3 linked regions of the Drosophila melanogaster genome follow. Changing the gene in region 3 together with the main gene of any one other region gives a genetic interaction. Each region holds a gene or a part of one and is shown on either strand. Other genes may lie near its edges.

What was found.
Region 1: of Arl2 (region 3) and msps, changing one suppresses a phenotype caused by changing the other (phenotypic suppression), as found in Drosophila melanogaster (one study listed by BioGRID).
Region 2: of Arl2 (region 3) and Tbcd, changing one enhances a phenotype caused by changing the other (phenotypic enhancement), as found in Drosophila melanogaster (one study listed by BioGRID).

The regions. Positions count from the first base shown.
Region 1 is NT_033777.3:16,048,506-16,054,655, reverse strand, and holds the start of msps (mini spindles), read right to left. Parts: upstream 3,856-6,150; 5' UTR 3,480-3,855; intron 2,779-3,479; exon of another isoform or gene 2,740-2,778; intron 2,582-2,739; 5' UTR 2,512-2,581; coding exon 1,823-2,511; intron 1,768-1,822; coding exon 1,697-1,767; intron 1,633-1,696; coding exon 1,313-1,632; intron 1,254-1,312; coding exon 1-1,253. Other genes in the region: CG5013 (uncharacterized protein), read right to left, coding at 4,074-4,688, 4,740-4,868; IKKbeta (I-kappaB kinase beta), read left to right, coding at 5,336-5,435, 5,845-6,150. UniProt on the Drosophila melanogaster protein: Binds to the plus end of microtubules and regulates microtubule dynamics and microtubule organization. Function in neurons is essential for adult survival, and is important for climbing behavior and activity.
Region 2 is NT_033779.5:2,145,084-2,153,019, reverse strand, and holds Tbcd (Tubulin-binding cofactor D), read right to left. Parts: upstream 5,503-7,936; 5' UTR 5,374-5,502; coding exon 4,431-5,373; intron 4,374-4,430; coding exon 3,240-4,373; intron 3,179-3,239; coding exon 2,759-3,178; intron 2,692-2,758; coding exon 2,225-2,691; intron 2,173-2,224; coding exon 1,567-2,172; 3' UTR 1,356-1,566; downstream 1-1,355. Other genes in the region: AIF (apoptosis inducing factor), read right to left, coding at 1-17, 76-357, 555-787, 874-985; CG11723 (uncharacterized protein), read left to right, coding at 5,996-6,134, 6,207-7,120.
Region 3 is NT_033777.3:8,338,561-8,342,963, forward strand, and holds Arl2 (ADP ribosylation factor-like 2), read left to right. Parts: upstream 1-2,539; 5' UTR 2,540-2,618; coding exon 2,619-2,683; intron 2,684-2,742; coding exon 2,743-3,097; intron 3,098-3,100; exon of another isoform or gene 3,101-3,155; coding exon 3,156-3,290; 3' UTR 3,291-3,310; downstream 3,311-4,403. Other genes in the region: COX7A (cytochrome c oxidase subunit 7A), read right to left, coding at 1,960-2,211, 2,264-2,308; PNKP (polynucleotide kinase 3'-phosphatase), read right to left, coding at 3,311-4,403. UniProt on the Drosophila melanogaster protein: GTP-binding protein involved in protein trafficking; may modulate vesicle budding and uncoating within the Golgi apparatus.

The sequences.
Region 1 (6,150 bases), 7.7 Mb from region 3:
ATAGACATGGTGCCTACCATTTGAATGGCGGAAGCACGAACCGTTGGATTCGTGCTCTGCACGCCTTTTCGTACATCTTCAATAAGTGTCTTTGGCTGCAATTGGAAGCCGAATTCTATGATTGACCTGTTAACCCAGTTAAAGGCCTCTGATTGCACTTTAGGCGATTTTTGTTCAAAAGCAAAGCTCAATACTTTGCCCACAACATACTCCAGTTTAGTGGCTTCGGCAAAGGCAGACAAAACATCTGCAGCTGCTGCACCATTCTTGGCGTCTGCTAGCTTCTCGATTATTTCGTTAATCACCAGATCAACGGTTGTCGTGGTCAGTGGATAGTTTTCAGCCACACTGCGGATTATGTCTAGCTTAAACTTGAGTACCTGGAAATTCATTTCTTTGAGGCCTGGCTTTCGTCCACTGATTGTTCGGATCAGGATCTGTGATATGCCAGCCTGTTTTGCATCAAAACCGCTTATTTCGCCCAGAAGCTGTTCCACAGCAGCAAGGCGGTTCTTCCAGTTGGAATCCACCAGCCCATTAAGAATTTCGGCTGGCAGAATTTCTTCGGATTTTTCTTGCAATTCCTCGGGGGTTATTTCGCGTTCCGTGGCTAGGGGTTTTCCACCCGCTTTAAGAGCTGCAGTTGGGGCAGATGTAGCTCCTCCTCCACTAACCGTCGCCGGTTTTTTCAAGACCTTACGTGCCCCTGTAGTGGCCGGTCGGGTTACTGGCTTAGGGTCCACACTACCAGCCACTGTCTTAGCCGGAGCAGCAGCTTTCGCAGTCGGTGCAGATGCAGGTCGTGTCTCCTTCTTTGGACCTGCAACCTTTATTTTAATCTCCGCCTTTTCTTGGCACTCCTTTATCTTGGCCATTTTGAGTGGATCGACGTCGGCGAGCAAAGGAGTCACCGCTTTGTCTCCCATTAGCTTTATTAAAGTACCAAGAGCTTCGGCGCTGCTGTCGCGTACGGTTGGATCTGGTTCGTTAAGCGTTTTCACTAGACTGGTGGTCAGAAGTTTAAGCAGCTTTTTGTTTAGCGCGGTTGGTTGGGTGCGGGTTAGGGCACGGGCAATAAACAAGGCCGTTTCGGACTTAACACTTGGATTTTTGTTGGACAGGGACTCTACAATGGACTCTTGCTGGGCCTCTAGAGAAGTGGAGGCGTATATGGCATCAATAGCTTCACGCAGCGCTGTCACAACATTAGGTTTCTTCTCTTTAAATTTTTCCAACAGGGATGGGACACAAGCCTGAAATAGAAGAACACATATGAAAACACGTTATTTGGAAGAAGGTGAGAGTTACTTACGGATGCGTAATTTGAGAATCGCTTTGCCAATCCTTTGGCTAGCAAGGCTAGACATTTTCCGGCCATTGCAACGAGGACTACGTTGGAGTCCTTGGTTATAACCTTTTTAAGAGCGCTTACCAGCGCTCCATACTCGCCATTCTCTAGCTTGGGGTGGTCAGTGAGCAGTTTCTCCAGGACTTCCAACGATTCTTTGCGCAGAGTCCATTTCTTTTCCTCCAGCTTATCGTAGAAGTCCTTGGGCATTTTGGAGAGAATGTCAACGGGGTCTAGAAGATCCATAGGATCGATTTCTTCAACGCCAGCCTCGCCATCATCCTCTGCATACGAAAACCAAAATCAAATCAATAATTCACTGCTTTTGTAATATCGAGGGCTTCATACCATTATATGCATCCTCGGTCGCTGCAGCATCGGCGATCTTCGCTTGCTTTTCCTGCTGGGACTTTAGATATCTAAAAGTAAGAGCGGTTTAGCTAGGCAATGATAGAGAGAAATCCTTGAACACACCTGGAGGGTTCAACGCGTTCACCTTTGAGTTTGTCGAATTCATCCTCCAGCTCCTTTAGCGTTACCTGTGGTAGCGTTGAGATCTGTGCCTTCATTGCAGCTCCGATCCAACGGTAAATCTCAACAGCCAGCTGCTTGCCCTCATCTCGGACCGTCTTGTCTCGGTCAGACATTAGCGGAGCAAGCTTTTTAATTAACGGCTTGACGCCGATCACCTTGTGTCCGAACTCGCGGAGGGCCAGTGTGGTGGCTGCCACGCAGGCAGACACAATCTTAGGGTTCTTGGCCTCCATACCTTTAACCAGCTCTTCGACGACGGCCTCCTGCTTCTCTATCTCCACATACATTAGAGCCACTTGGACGGAGAGCTCCTTGGTTTTGGTCTTTGGCGCCGCAATGCACTTCTGAACGATGCCTGTCATCACGTCGCCTACTGTGCGTCCCGCCAGCCCGCTGTTCTCCACAAAAATGAGGGCCGCTTCTAGACCCTTTTCCTGGGCCAGAGCATTAGAGTCCACTACCATCTTCTTTATGAGCCCTGCAAATTTAGACCATTCCGGCGACTTCTCGTCATCCAGCTCGCGAAAGATCTTTGCGGCCTCCTCGTAACCATCGACGCGGGCTTTCCATAGTTTATGGACACACCGCTCCTCCACCGGCAACTTCTTGTACTCTGTGTCCTCGGCCATTGTGTCGTGTTTCGTACGCTACTCGGGTTCTCCTCAATGGTCTCAGTCGCAAACAGCCTCAAGCAGCATTCTGCGAAACAAAAAGATAAATATGTATAAAAAAGCTACTTTAATCGAATTTTTCTTAAAAGAAAAACTAGCCAAGCTTCCAATGAAGCAGAACTATTCCGGATGTCAGGAGTCATCGAGCTGATGTTTTAAAATTGAGCTTAATAGTCTATGAAATACCGATGGCCAAGGAAGCAGAATCATCCATCCGTTTCGCTCGAGGGGCGGAAAAAAGTAAATGGGTCGGCCATATTTAGATTGTCGTTTTCTAAGTGCAGTTATTTGGCAAACAGAAGCAGAAATAGGAGAGTGTAAATTTGGATTTTCGGAAAAGGTTGGTGGGCTTGTCACCCAGGATGGGTGATATCATGTCGCTGAATAGCGCGTTATTTTTTCAGTCAATTAATCAGGGGCACGGCAAATACCCCCCGCACAACCACTACAAAAGGTGACACACGCACACGAAAGCCTGCGACTGAATCAGGCGTGGATTTTCCATCACTCCCATTTATTATTCATGCATCTGTCTCTTTAATATTGTTTTGATGCGCTCCTACTGTGCTCACGTTTGAGTAGAGCATTTTTCAATTCGGATATGCCCGCGCTTTGTTTCTTCCTCTCTCTTGATTTCGCTCTTTCAAGCTCTCACGCACACCGACGCTCTCAAGTTCGAATTAACGGATCATACCGCAGGCAACAACAAATGTTTCTCCTGTGGGCTGTGTGTCTGGATTATGCCGTCGTTTACCGTTCCACCCAACCGCCAATGGTTGCAGCGGCTATCAATTTCCAGTGGCTGCAACTTGAGAGCCGCAGATGAAGCACATATCGCCCATTTTAGCGACAAACAAATTGCGACGCCCTGGAACAAAATCGCGATGCATCCGAGTGCATTCCGGTACACGCACTAGCACACTCACCATCAGAATTGTGATCCAAGTACCGCCGTAGAGCGGGGACTGGGCGAGGAGCTGCGGGACTTACAGCTGGCCAGGGACAGCGGCTTGAAAGGGCTGCGCAATGCAATAACTTCGATTTTTCGCAGGCGACGACGTACCAACACTTACACACGGCACAACACAGAAGCACGCACACTTATTCGACAAAGACACACCGACGGGGTCTTTCCGGGATGCCAAGTAATGTAGCAACAATGAACAATAACTTAACTACGTTTCCAGCACTTCGAGCCTCTTTTGTGCAGCGGAATTTACTTGGTTTCGCGGTAGGTAAATAAATAATAATTTTCGCAGTTTTCCAACAGCGTCGTTGCGCCAGTGTGACCGCTACTCACAACTCTAGCATCCCCTAAAACCTAGAATTAGTGTGCTGGGTGGAAAACTTTGATAGGTACGCGCTAAATTTTAAACATATATTTCCAAATATTTGGCCAACATTGATTTCAAGCGATTACCACAGGCAAATATTTATTTGATGTTTGGGAGCATTCCCGTGTAGAACATTAACTAAGAGAGATTTGACATTCAGCATAAAAAAAGCCAATTGTATAATTGTTATGTTGTATTTATTGAGCCATCGCTTTCGATGCGCGTGATCTCCAGAAGATGAATAGTGTGTCCGCCCATAAACTCCAGCAGATCCACTCCCGACTCCTTGCCAATGTCCTCCATGCTGATGGGTAAAGCCTGCAGCTTCCACTTCTTGAGCAGCGCCTCTATGGACCAGTCGGCGCTCCGCTCCTGGTATGTAAATATAAATTTGGCCCCGGCATTTCGCTCCAGCAGAAAAGCAACTGTGACCACGATATCCTCGAACACGCTGGGATCGTAGAAGCAGTCTGCTGCAATGATAAGGTCCAGAGGCGGCAGTCGGAACACGCTGTTCAGCAGCAGGCCCCAACTCAGGCCCACCACATCGATATCAACGCCCGGCTGCAGTTGATTGGCCAGGCAGGACTTTCGGATATGGGCCAGTGACTTGGGCAGAATGCAGTTGTCAGTAAGTACCACTTGGGCGCGGCATTTGGCCGCCAGAATGCCGGGCAGGGCGGTGCCGCTTCCCAGCTCCAGGATGCGCTTGCCCGCCAGTGTCTGTCGGCGCTCCCACAGGAAGTGGGCTAAAATTGGTGCGCAAGGCCATGTGTAGAAGGAGTAGGCACCCTGAAGCAGCTGTAGGCGGACACTTTAGATACTACACGAACACCTGGTTCTAAGGATTACCTCAGGTATTTTGATCTCCAGTCGCTCGGCGGGTGATCCGCTGAAGACAAACTTGCGGATATGCTCGGCAGTGGCTGTGGCCGCCACAATGTCATTGTCCTCGCTGCCGCTCTTCATGTGGAAACGCATCTTAGCTCAAGCATGCAGGAGTATTACTATTTTCACTAAACTAAAGTTATTTTTCAGCGTTTTGTTTACAACCTGTTTGATTAGCGATGTCACTTCGTTGCGATAACTTAATCGATAAAAATTGAGGCGAGTGAAGCAAATAGTGACCGAAGGGTGACTTCAGTAGCAGTTGACATTTTAAGCCACCATTTCTAAGCTTCAATTAAAAACGTTTTTGGGTATCCCAATTCGTCCAGTTTATTTAAAGGTATGCATCCCAATTGAAAGTGGCTGCAGCTGAGCGCTCCTCTAAACAAAATTCTCGTGACCGCGATTGCTGCTGAACGATGACTAGTGTATAAGCAATCGAATATCGCAAATCTTGTATGATCACTGTGGTGTTTTGCTTTTCCGATTGCCATGGAGGGATTCAGATTCTTGGAAGAATGAGCTCCGTAAATAAAATAAAGCTTAACGAAAACAACAAGATGCACTCTTTTGGGAACTGGGAGCGGTGCCGGAATCTGGGAGAGGGCGGATTCGGCCTAGTGATCCATTGGCGAAACCGAACAACGGGCCGTGAAATTGGTGAGCTATAAACACCTTATGGGCTAACACTAATATACATATACATATAAATATTTTAAGGATTTTCTTTTTCGCAAACACACATTACCAGCCCCCAAACACCCTCCCCCTTTCCAGCCTTACTCATAAATAAATAAATTTTTTGTTGTATTTTGTATATATCCAAATAATAAAACCATAAAAACAACATACATATACATATGAACATGTTTGTTGTCCAACAATTCCCAGAAACCGAGCTGAGGCATGCGTTTCCGGGTGGTCCACTGATAGTGATAGAGGGCTCGAGTTTTGCGCGTTTGGTGTGGTCTCCGCATTAGATATGTCGCTTATAGCCTTTCGGCTGAGTTAGCCGATATGGCAGATATTTTAAGCGTCAGTCTTAAGTGTTTATTTATTTTCCACATAGCCACCAAGCACATAAAGGAGATGGGGGCCCTGAGTGCCGATCAGCAAGTCAAGCTCAGCGAGCGTTGGAACAAGGAGCTGAACTGGTCTCGTCAGTTTAAAAACTTTCCCCATATTGTGGCTGGCGTGGACATCGAGGATCCGGACTTTTTGGAGTACCTGAATGGCATGTTTAGTGCCAAGTTGCCTGTTATTGTGCTGGAATACTGTAACGGTGGAGACGTGAGGAAGCGTCTGCAGAGCCCGGAGAATGCTAATGGTCTGACGGAGTTCGAGGTGCGGCAGATACTGGGAGCCCTACGTAAGG
Region 2 (7,936 bases), on a different chromosome or scaffold from region 3:
GTCATAAACCAAGCGAGCTATATGATAGCAAAGTAATTAGAGAATATTTCCTTTAGATATCAGATCGAAACATACAAATCCTCCGGCTAACAAGGCAGCCAGGGCACCCAAGAGGCACTTAAGCCGTAGGTCCTTCATCCGACACTCGCACTCCTCGTCTCCACCATCACCGCCACCGGGAGCAGTACCATCCTCGTCGCAGGGCTGGCAGGTGGTCTCCTTTCGTTTGCGCTTGAATTCCTCGCAGGGACTAGTCGCTTTGCAGGAATCCAGGACGGGTTGGCTGGTGCTGAGCTTTGCACTGTCCGACTTTAACACATCCTTAGCACTGCAGACGGACTTGACGTCAGCAAAGCCCTGGAAATTGATTATATTGTTTAATATTTGTTAATAACTCTGCAAGTCTTTGATGGGGATGCAAACTGGTTTCTGTTTAATAACCCAGCTATGTTTTCGCTAGTTATCAATTTCACAAGGCTTGTAGGAAGTTAGTTTGCATCCCCAACTTATCCAGCTAATGCAAATGGATGGTGAATGGTATGAACGATGGGTACCACTTTAAAGAGTGGCTCCGATTGGGAATGGGCTTGAAACTGGGCATTGGCGTAGGCGGGAACGCCGGCTCCCTCCACCGCCGTCTCGTACTCTTCAACGGGGGGCGTGGTCGAGGGCTTGGTGACGCAGACTTGATGATTTGGATATTTGTTGGCTTGCAATTTGGTGCGCGCCTCAAGGGTGCGTTTCTTTACCATTTGATAGAGGCTGCTGTGGGCTGGCCGAAGAGGAGCTGAAATCGACGTGAATGCTAGTTAGTTATCGGCAAAAACATGAAAACACGGATCGGTTTGGCCAGCCGGCCATAACCTCACTTACCGTATGCCGGCGGCGAGCGCTGCGGCACTGGACCCAATAGCCTTCTGTTGGCCAGGATGTACGCCTGCCGGATGAACCTCTGCGTCAGACATCGGACCCCCCAAATACTCATCGTGATTTGCACTGGCTGCGGAGTAGGTGACACCACAATCCACAATTGTGTAACGTAACAACGTTGTGCGGCGAAAGAAACGTGTGTTTTGCGAGTTCGTGTTTTATTTACAAAAAAACCAATTTCTATGACAAATTTCTCCGTGTGAAGTCCGGCGGTGTTTAATTGATCTCGACTCCTTTATCCCTCCTTGCTTTTGGGTAGTCCGCGTTTAATTTATATTTATTTTTCATTCCCTCGCCTGTCTTGTTTTTTTCTGTCTCTGTCGCAGTGTGACCGTCGCAATGAAATGGGAAATGGCCCAGCGCCTATTCGAAATTATTTGGCTTGAAAATAGCCACTTTTTATCAAAAAGTGTTCGTTGGTTTTTGAAATGTTGAACAATATTTAATTTATTTTGAGCAAGTGAAATTTTAAAATCGAACTTACAAGCTCTTTGTTTTGAAAACGATAAATATTAAAAAACATGTTAAAATAAAGATGTGCTTCCAAAATAAAGAATAAAAATTCTTATGAATACCACTTATGTATGTTGTCAGTACAATTGTGCATTAATATATATTAAATACATGTGGGAACATTCATTTATCAGCACTCGCTTGCTGCAAAGCGGCTGCAGCAGCTGCTCCACTTACGGGAGGCTTGATGTCCATTAGTTGGCACAACTGGTTCCGCAGCGGACGCACCTCCACCAGCGGCTGGGTCCAGTCCGTTTCGGAGAGCAGTGTTAGGATCTCATCCATATTCTCCTCGGGCACTTCGGTGACATCGCCGTGCAGAGCCAACGCTTCGTACAATTTTGTGGCAGCGGTTTTGCGAACGTGGACGTGCTGCAGTCCAAGAAATACTGAGAGCTTGGAGAGGATGCGTTTAGACAGGCGAGGAACCTGGAGCAACTGGCAAAAAGCACTGATGCTGGTCGCAGTCTTGTACAGCTTCTTGTAGCCCTTAACCTCCAGGTTGAGCAGCCTAAAGATATCCTCTGCAAAGGGATTTGCTTCATCGTGTAGAACCGATTCTACAGTTCCGGAGCCAATGAGTATATCCAGGAAACTGAGCAGAGGATAGGTCACGCGCTCGTTTAGTAGATGCTCCTCGAAAATCTGGACCACCTCGGAGCAGAGACGCGGAACAGTCTCAGGATTGGAACGCAAGAAGTGGAATAAGGCACTGGAGGCATACTTGATCTGCAGGAAGAATATTTTAGAGATTGATATAGAGGTGGTCTATACAACTTACAAGAGATTCAGTCAGTTGACCAATGCTGGCACTCAGACCCAAAAGAACTCTTTTAGAGTAATCCGGCAGAGAGAGCAGCTCGCAGAACAGCGGGAATGTGTGATCGGCAAATAACCAAAGTACGGAATCCGCATCCGCGGGAAATATTTCCAAGAGTTTTGAGTGCTCCCGTATGTAGGGGATCCTCGGCTGATGATGGATCAGTTGGCAGCAAAGGCGACCACCTAATCCACGAGTGCGATCGATCTTCTCCACCGCCTGTTGCATAAAGCCCACGACAATCTCATGCACTTGCTCTGGGGCGAGGAGATCAGGCGGACACGTAGTGACGATTTCGTATAGCGATGACATAGCCGCCTCCCTCACCCACGCTCCGATGTCACCACGGTTGTCCAGGGTGTACTCTTGAAGAGCTCTTAACAGGCATTCGATAACCTTGTTAAAGTTTTTCGGCTCAGCAAATGAGTCTGAAAAAATAATTGTATACTAAGATTTGTTCACATTCTTAGCCCACAACTAAGATCATTGACTCACCAATTCCCCCTCCATATCCCACGGTCTTCACCAACTTGGTCAAGGCCAGCACGCTCTGTGTCCGTGCCTCGCTCCACCTGTATGCCTGGATGTTCTCGCGGTCACCCATTTCACCCACCAGAACTGCTTGCAGTGGAGTTAGGGAGTGCTTCACCAGACTGTCCAATATAGCCTGCAGATGACAGCGGATCATAAAGGATGGGAGCACACCCAGAGCAGCAATGTAGCCCATGCGAATGTGCTCCTCCAAATCGTTATCTGCACCTGTTAGATAAGTGTTGATTATGGCTTCGTTTTCCCCGTGCCTGGAATCTGAGCAGTAATAAGTGGTACAGAGTTCACCGAACGCTTCCACCGCACCATCCCGAATAGCGTTTGATTTGGTGATCAAACAGGAATCGATGACTTTCTGCCAGGAAACTGAAACGAATAAACGCAATTAAATAATATGCTTGTTATACTTTAGGGACTCTTTTCCTACCCAAGCACTCCGGCGTAGCCTGCAACTTGGCCAGACTGCAGTTCTTTATGTAGCTGCTGGTGCAAGATTTCATCAGGTCGCCGCTCATTCCGCGATAGAAATTTTTGTCTAGGAACGTTATTATTAGTTCATTCAGCTCCGCAACCCGTTGGTTGGAGAGGTAAACCACTTGGGGATCACTCTTTTCCTCTAGTTTCCGTAGGGTCAGTGTTATTTCTCCCATGGCTAAGACACAACCATGCCGGCAGTTAATATCGATGGTGTCAGTTTTTGCCAGCAGTTGCGGCAGCACCACAGCGGCCATGTACTCGGGCTCCCAAAGGGATAGTTTGTGCAGGGCTTTGGCTGTCAGCTCCCTTATAGCCGAATCCCAATGGCTTACCTTATGCTGAACTAGATGGTTAATCAATGGTTCCCTGTACACCTCAAACTGTGCAATGTAGTCACTGATGTTTAGATAGGAATTCTGCCTGATGCCCACGGAATAGAAGTCCGTCGTGGTGGAGATTTCGATTCCGAAGGGAAAGTTGCCCAGGCGTCCCACACTTTCCTGAAAAGCTGCCGAGGCAGCCCGCCTGCAGTTCACCTCGCGGTCGAACACTGCAACGGTCAGCAGGCCAGATGAGATTTTGTGCACAAATGGCTTCACATCATCCGGATTGTAAGCCCTGGCAAATGCCCAGCACATGTAGCAGGCTGAATCTCGGATGTGTTGCCCCACCGACATGTAGCCCTTCATCTCGTCGTAGAAGAGCGCCTGCATAAGGAGGGGTACTAGCTCCTCCAATCGATGTGGCAGCAGCAATCCCCTTTTTGCCAGTTCTGCCAAAGCCAGGCATGCACCATGCCAGGCCTCGTGGGGTTCCAGCGGGTTGAGTATATCAATCACAGACCCTATAACCTCATCGGCCAGCTCCTTGGGAAGGCGATTGGTGACTCTGCCTAATCCTTTGGCGGCGCTCCAGCGTATATCGTTTCCTCCGCTTCGCAGTGCCTGGAGCAGCTCCTCAATCACCTCTTCTATGGCATCGGGGACCACTATTTCCTCGCCTTCCTCCAGGGATTGCTCCAAAACAACTGGTTCACCTCCTGCCGCAGTTGTCTGGTTTAGATTGGTGGCCAGTGAACGAGTGCCTAAGAAAACACTAGTTTATTATGGTTTCATGCGTGAATAACAAACCCCAGGCTTACCTCTTTTATACCGCCAGCTGGCAATGCGTGGCTTCAAATGAACCAATCCAATTCTCTGGATGATTTTTACATAGTTCTTGTACTTGAGAAAGTCGTTGTCATCCTTGTACTGACAGGAAGTGATCCACTGAAGAAGTTTGTCCGCATAGGGCAGAAGATCTTCTCGCTTTCCGTGCTTTAAAATAGCAGCCACTGCAGCCAGTTGGCCGAACTTGACGTTCAACGTGTCCGCTTGGTGCTGCTCCATAATCCAGTCCAGGAAGCGCTCCAGATATAGATCCTTGATGTCACTGCGAATGAAATACTTGGCGGCCAGGAAAGCAGCCATGCTGCTGCATGTGTCGTTGGAGGACACATAAAGCTGGATGAGCTCGAAGATGCGATCCATCTTGGTGTTCTTCGACTGAACATGGTTCACGGGACTGCAATTGGTGGTGGGAGCAGATGTGGAGGTGTCATAGGCATCTAGTCTCGACATGTGAAAGGGATTTAGGACCAGGATAGACATCCACAGGAGCAGTATATAGCGCGTTTCCCACTGTTCGAACTCCTTGGGATTTTGCTGACCCAGCAAATCCAGAACAAACTCCAGATCGCTCAGTTCGTGTGGCATAAACTTTACCAGGACCTTATAGGTGCGCACTTTGCAGATGATGTAGAGATACTTGAAGGCTGCATGAAGCTCTCCAGTGTCTAGATCTGGCTTCCGAATCTTGTGGAGCAGTTTGCCGAGTAACTCCTCCAAATGTGGATCCAAGAGGTGTGGCTGCTCCTGATATCTAGACAAAACCTGGGCGTACTGCTCGAACTCCCTTTCGAAGGTGTTAGCGGCAATGGATTTGATGTTGTCGATCATCTCCAGCACCTGCTGCAGTTCGGTGAAGTGCTCCAGCGTGTTTGCCGGCAGGTCCTCATCCTTGCACTCTTCCACAGAATTCGACATGGCTGCTTGACGATTTTATCGAGTTTTAAACCCACAGCCGGCAACAAAATCAATTCGTTTGTGAATCATTTGTTTTACTGCCAGGGTTGCAACCCCAATGAAAGTATGCTGGTATGACACCACGAACTGACTCGTCTCTTTCTTACTGTTTTTCGACCAAAAGGGTCTTTATCTAATTCTTTATCTTTAAACTAACATTTTTTTTTGGAATCAAATGCAGTTATTGTACATTGTGCTCTTTAAACGTTTGTAATAAATCCTACTAAATAAGTTCATCTAGTGTCATAGTGCCTTTGGTGTGGCCGTTTTGCATGCACCTGGTAATACCGTTAAGCAGCTGTTCGACCAGAGCTGCCAGGCGCAATTAATCATTTATTTGTAGTGGCAAGCGAAACTGCGAGATTTAGCAAGAGCAAGATTTTGTATATTCCACCAAAACGCAGCAAAGCAAGCCCGAATTTGGGATATTAAAAGTGTTACCGTCGGGTCGAAACCGCTCACACATTCGTCGAGTTTGCTGTGAGCGCGGTCATTGCTGTGAAAATTGCGTTGAAAATTCGGGATCCGCAAGTTTCGGAGCATTGCATTTGTGGACAAACCGCAATTTCTGGTCCACTGCGCCATGAAATCAGATAACTACCGTCTCATACAGGAGGTGTCCAAGCGGCGGTGCCTGTGGGACACAAACATGTCCATTTCGTACCGCAACCAGGACGCAGCTCTCCAGTGGGCGAGTGTCGCGCAGATAATGCAGCAGGATGGTGAGTGGCGGATAAACGAGGAGGGTTTTATATGCCTAGGAAACCTATAAATAACACCTGGTCATTTTGCAGTCTCGATCTGCAAGAAACGTTTCAAGGGAATGCGGGACAGCTACCGGGCAGAGGTGCGCAAGATACAGCAGAAACGAATCGAGATGTCCCACTGGCCATACTTTCGCTCACTGGAGTTCATGCGCCAAATCTTCGATCCGGAGGGCCTGGTGCCCTTTCCACCAGAGCCCTTCGTGATGAACACCGAGCAGCCGGAAGTCTTCGAGCCCACCCGACTGGTTGACTTCGCTATCGATTTGGATTTGGACAATGATGACTCTGTTGACTTTGAAATCATCGAGGACATATTTAAGCGGGAGCCGTCAGTGCCCCAGGACTCTGGCTCGGATAAAGGCTCGCTGATCAAGCCTTTGGATTCTTCATCCTCGGGCGCCCATCGTTCCGATCAGGATCTATCGCCCACATTGCCCATACACTTGCCGCGCCACCAACAATTCCTGCCACGTCCACCCCCGCCTTCGAAGAGAGGACGTCGGAGGAAAACTTCGCCGTCTAACGATGTCCCCTTATTGAATGGATACGCCAGCCAGGCGTCAAAGTCTACCACTGAACCCGATCTAAAGAACGATTCGGACTTGAGTTTCTTGATGAGCATGATGCCGCACGTAAAGTCTCTGTCAGCCATTAGCAATCTTAAGTTTCGAATGGAGATGGCGCGCGTTCTGGTGGAACTCAGGGAGGAGGATCAGCACATGCTCGCGGCGGCGGGACCCGAAGACGTTCTAGAGCGCAGCATGCCCAAACTAACACCAGCCCCGAATTCCAGTTTTGCCACTCAGCTGGAGAAATCCCAGTACCATCTATCCAATTCCAGCTACCAAATCAGTAGCCGAAAAACACCAACTTCGTTTGACTATGTCGACAGCTCCATGGTTGAGTGCGATGTCAAGATAGAGAATGAGCCTCTGCTATGAAGACTTCATACCAAATTTTTACGATTTTACATTCACCAATAATTCTCTAAGGAGTATTCCTTTCATATTGTTACAAGTCTTAGATGAAACCCTACTCATACATGAGTAGTTGTTTGGCAAAATGCCTATCATAAGACCATTATCCACACGCTGAATTGCTTGTAAAATATTGATTTGTATTGTCCAATAATTTAACCATTTTGACTCCGGGTATGCCATTCGCGGGCTGTTTTAAAGCAATTTACACGAAATGGAATATACAAACAAAATAACAGCTGATGCTGATTAAATTTTAAGGTTTAGCTTATCATTGGGATGTCATCTGGAAGGAATTTTAATGGATTTGAATTGATTTAAGATTCTGTTTTCGAATAGACACGTAATAAATATGTGCATACGATTTAAAAAAGGTCCAATGATTTTAAGGTGAGATAATCCTAAAATCGATTCGGTTTCATTTCCCGATGTTCCACTACGAAATGTCAACCATAAATAAAACAAATAAAAGAGGCAACTTGGTCGAAAACAATCTCAGTTCAATTGTAATGAAAATTGACGTCCGGTGCATAATTTATATATAATAATATATATCTATATATATATAAATAATAACAATTCAAGATTATTTGCTAGTTTATGTTCCTTGTCTAACGTTCCAGAAAAAAAGTAACTTGGCATTTGGCAGTCGGACGTTTTCGTTTCGGCGAATGGTATTTAGTTAGGCAGCAGTACGGTCACACTGGCGGAACTAACTAAAAAAAAGTGTGAAAATTTGTCAAATATTTCGACAAGTACAACGATCTAATCGATTCGGGA
Region 3 (4,403 bases):
GCTGATAGACGCGCTTTAAATGCATAAAATTGCCGACTATAAATAAGATTTAATGAAACACATTTTTCGATTCCCGATTCTACACGCATCCGCATCCAATCCACAAATATGGGGTTTACTTCGTTGTGTTGTTCTACCATATTGTTTTGGCAAAGGATTGTGGTCGCTGGGGAGAGAAGGCGGAGCGTTTAGCCCGGCATCTTCTATGCTTCTTGAGTTATTATTGTAATTTGGCTGTGGCCAGTCGAGTGGAACGGTTGCAGTTGCAGATGCAGTTACTCCGAAAGATCCCGACCGCGAGACACAGCGCAGAAGATGGAGAGCCGCCAGCGCTTTGGCATTTCGTGTTCATTTAAATTTTTCACAGTCTATGAAATATAATAAGTTTGCGACATGTGCACCGCTACGTTCCCATCCCATAATTAGCCAAACGAACTTTAATTAAAAATCGAGCTCTTTTCCGTTTCGGGGGAATCTATATTTTCGGGATCACATATGGCCCACGAATAGGCTATACAATGTCTGCAGCAGATCACCACTTTCAGTTCCGTTCGGAACCACCTACGCAGAACTGCTGGCCATTCCCAATGTGTTTACGGTGGGCCAGTCCGCGTCCACTTTATGACTTTTCGTTTCGCGCGCACATCCAAAAATTCAAATGGGCCGTAGCGGAATAATGGCAAACCAACGCAACGCAACACAACAGAAGAGGAAAGATTACGCTTTTCTGTTTATTCCACTTCGATGGGTATGCACTGTACAGTGCGTGGTGAAACTATAAGGATAAGTTACTTACTAAGTTCACTATACGAGTTTTCTATAAGGGAATATACTCTTAGACTTGAGAACATGCAACTGTTTGCGGAAACTATCTGTTAAATATTATTTCTCGTTTAATAACTAACATATTTCTTAAATTCCACAACAGTTTCGTGACGCACTGCCCGTTGTGAGTGTGTGGAAAATGCCAGGGAAAATGCATAAAGCGGCGGATGTTTTCATAATTTTTAATGCTTTAGTTTTATTTAAGTGTTTATGGAGAATAACTAATGAAAAACGTCATGAATTGCATATTCCGCCGCACTCGGGTATTAATAAACGGGCGGCGTGCATGGGCCTGTGCTTGTGTTAAAGCGCAACATGATTCGCTCGATTTAAAATGCATTTCCATGCCAATGGCAACGCGCCGAGTTGCCGCCCTTTGATTTATAAAACAGGCCGTTTCCTTAGCCGATTCCCCAGTCTCGACCGCATCCCAGATCTCTGCTCCATGTCGCCGCTGTTTGTTTACTTAATGTCAATGCAATTAAGGGGAAATACTTTTGGGCAAATATCTCGTTGCCAGCGACCGTGCCTAAAACAAATAAGCAGTCTCGTTACTTTACAGCCAGATCTCTTATATTTCCACGCTTTAAATGCTCTTGCGAATGTTCAGTTTACACATCAAATCTTAGCTATTCTAACACAAAACAATAAGCCAGGTTGTAGGTTGGGGTGTTTCATGTTGTCCAGGTATCCAGGGCAAGGCTCTGCAAGATAAAGGGATTAAGGATTGCGATTAGTTACAAACTTTTGGGATAGATGTTGTATCTGAATGGCAGATCTCTTAGGCAAGTGGTTCTCATGTTACACATATCTATTATTGTACAAATAAAATTCCTAATTAAACTATTATTGTATAAGACGGAGACTTTAAGATGCTAGTTTGCAAACAAATATTATAACTTAAGGTTTAAACATAGTCTATAAATTTATTAGACAAATACAGGGAATAGTTTACGGAATGTTGTCCTTGGATAATGTCATATTTTATGTCAAGAACTTAGCAACCTAGCATAAACACAAAATTCTAAAAAATGGAACTTACACAATCAAAACATTGAAATATAAGGCGACTACGCTGAATCACGGATCTTGCGCGGGGTTTAATGGCTTAGCTTAGGGTTCGGTACTGCGACTTCACTCCTTCTTGGGAACACTCAGCTCGTAGAAAAGCTTGCCCATGCCACCGATGCCGACGAGGGCGAGAGCGACGGTGACGCGGTAGAGCACGTTGTCCACGACGGATCCCTTGAGGAAGACGGGCTTGCCGTCCTTCTTCTGAAAGTGCTCCTGCACCTTGCGGATCTCGAAGTATCCCTTCTCGATCTGGTCCTTGGGCACGGCGGCGGACCGGCGGCCAGCGGTGGTAGCGAAGCTACGGACAACAGCCTGCCGAGGAGTACAAAATGTGCGGTTAGTTCTGAGGCTCCAGGGAACTTACGTAATTGGATGTAGGTAATGGGATCTCCAGTGTTTCGGAACTCATGCTGTTCCTCCAGAAAGGTGTGTAGAGTAATGTAAATTACTTACTCTCGACAGGTTCATCATTTTGCTGGGGTTTATTTTTAAGATTTAGCAAAAAGTGAGCAGTTTTCCTGGGCGAAAAATATCGGTCTGAAATATGACAGCTGACAACTGGAGATATATCGATGTATTATCGATACATCGATGTCGATATTTCCAGCAGTTTGGCATTCACCTGGAAATTCCTATTTAGTTTAATAAACAATTTAAGCAGCTGCCAATAAAAACATTTGTTTATAATTCCATAGCGTTACTAAAATACAGACGTTGTCATGGGCTTCCTCACAGTATTAAAAAAGATGCGACAGAAGGAAAGGGAAATGCGCATATTACTGCTGTGAGTTCCATGGAATTATAAAAAAATAAATAGTGATTCATGTATCGACTTTCTTATAGAGGTCTGGATAATGCCGGCAAGACGACAATCCTGAAGCGCTTTAATGGCGAACCCATAGACACCATCTCACCCACACTGGGATTCAATATTAAAACCTTGGAGCACAACGGCTACACCCTGAATATGTGGGATGTCGGTGGCCAGAAGTCTCTGCGATCCTACTGGAGAAACTACTTCGAGTCCACTGATGGTCTGGTCTGGGTGGTGGATAGCGCTGACAGGATGCGCCTAGAGTCCTGCGGCCAGGAGCTGCAAGTTCTGCTCCAGGAAGAGCGATTAGCTGGAGCCACACTCCTAGTTCTCTGCAACAAACAGGATCTACCGGGAGCCCTCTCATCCAACGAAATTAAAGAGGTTCACTCTCATTGATTTTTTATTGAAACAACACATTTAATATACTTTATATTTAAAGATACTACACCTAGAGGATATCACCACACATCATTGGCTGGTGGCCGGAGTTAGTGCAGTGACTGGCGAGAAACTGCTTAGCTCCATGGACTGGTTGATCGCCGATATAGCTAAGCGTATATTCACTTTGGATTAAATACAATTTATTTTACTTCCTTATTTCTCGACCAAGTACATTTTGTATAGCTTTTCCTGCTTTTCGTCCGCAAAATTGGGCTTAAAGTTCACCTTGTGTATGGATATAAATCCTTCGTCTAGGGCGGGTTCCTGGTACTTTTTCTTCATCATGTTAAATACCATGTCCTTGATCTTGGTGCGCGCGGAGTCTGATAGCTCTCGGAAAGCTATATTGTGCTTCACTTGGGCGACGGGCACATTCATCACAAGGCAGCGGCATGGAATCATCTTTTCGCTGGCCAACTGCAAGAATTTTTTTCGAGAAGCTGCATCCACATTGGTGTTATCCACCACACATGATTGGCCCGAGTCCAGGAACCGTTTACAGGCAGTCAGGCAGTTTTGAGTGCTACCCAATGTATCTGCATTGACGATTTTGTAGCCCCGCGGTTGAAAAAAGCTGGAACAAAAGTGGCTCTTTCCGGATCCTGGCAGACCCACCATGATGACCATTTCGCAGGGGTGGTCATCGAGGGTCAAGTCATCCGGATCAAGCAGAGATACTTGGTCCTGAACGCTAGTGGGTTCAAAGTCCGGCTTATTCCACTGCTCCACTTGTTTGCCCAGGAAATGAACCTCTGGAGTGTAGAATGAAATTCCCACGTTGGCTGCAAAAAGTCTGTCTACTAAAGAGTGATCTTTGCGCCGCTTGGTGGCTCCCTTGCCCGTCTCCGGTCTTCCGGCTGCATCGCCGACGAAGAAACATCGATCTTCCTGAATCTCAACGCCATCATTCATTTCACTCTTTAAGTGCTGCCACATTCCCGTCAAAGGTTTGCGATAAAATCCATCACCTATGGCTATAAATACTTGAATTGGAACTCCCAGTTTAGCCACAATATGCTTGATCTTGACCTTAAAGTCATCTAGGTTGATTTTTCCACGAGCAATGCCTCCTTGGTTGGTGAAGAGACAGATTTTAAACCCATCCTTGTGGAGATTCTTTAGTTTCTCCGGCACTTCGGGAAATATGATCTGCCAGTCGTCGGTGTTTTTGGGGAACACCAGTCCCGATTTTGTTTTTATAATGGTGCCGTCCATGTCGTAGCCAGCTATCTTTTCAGAACCTTTA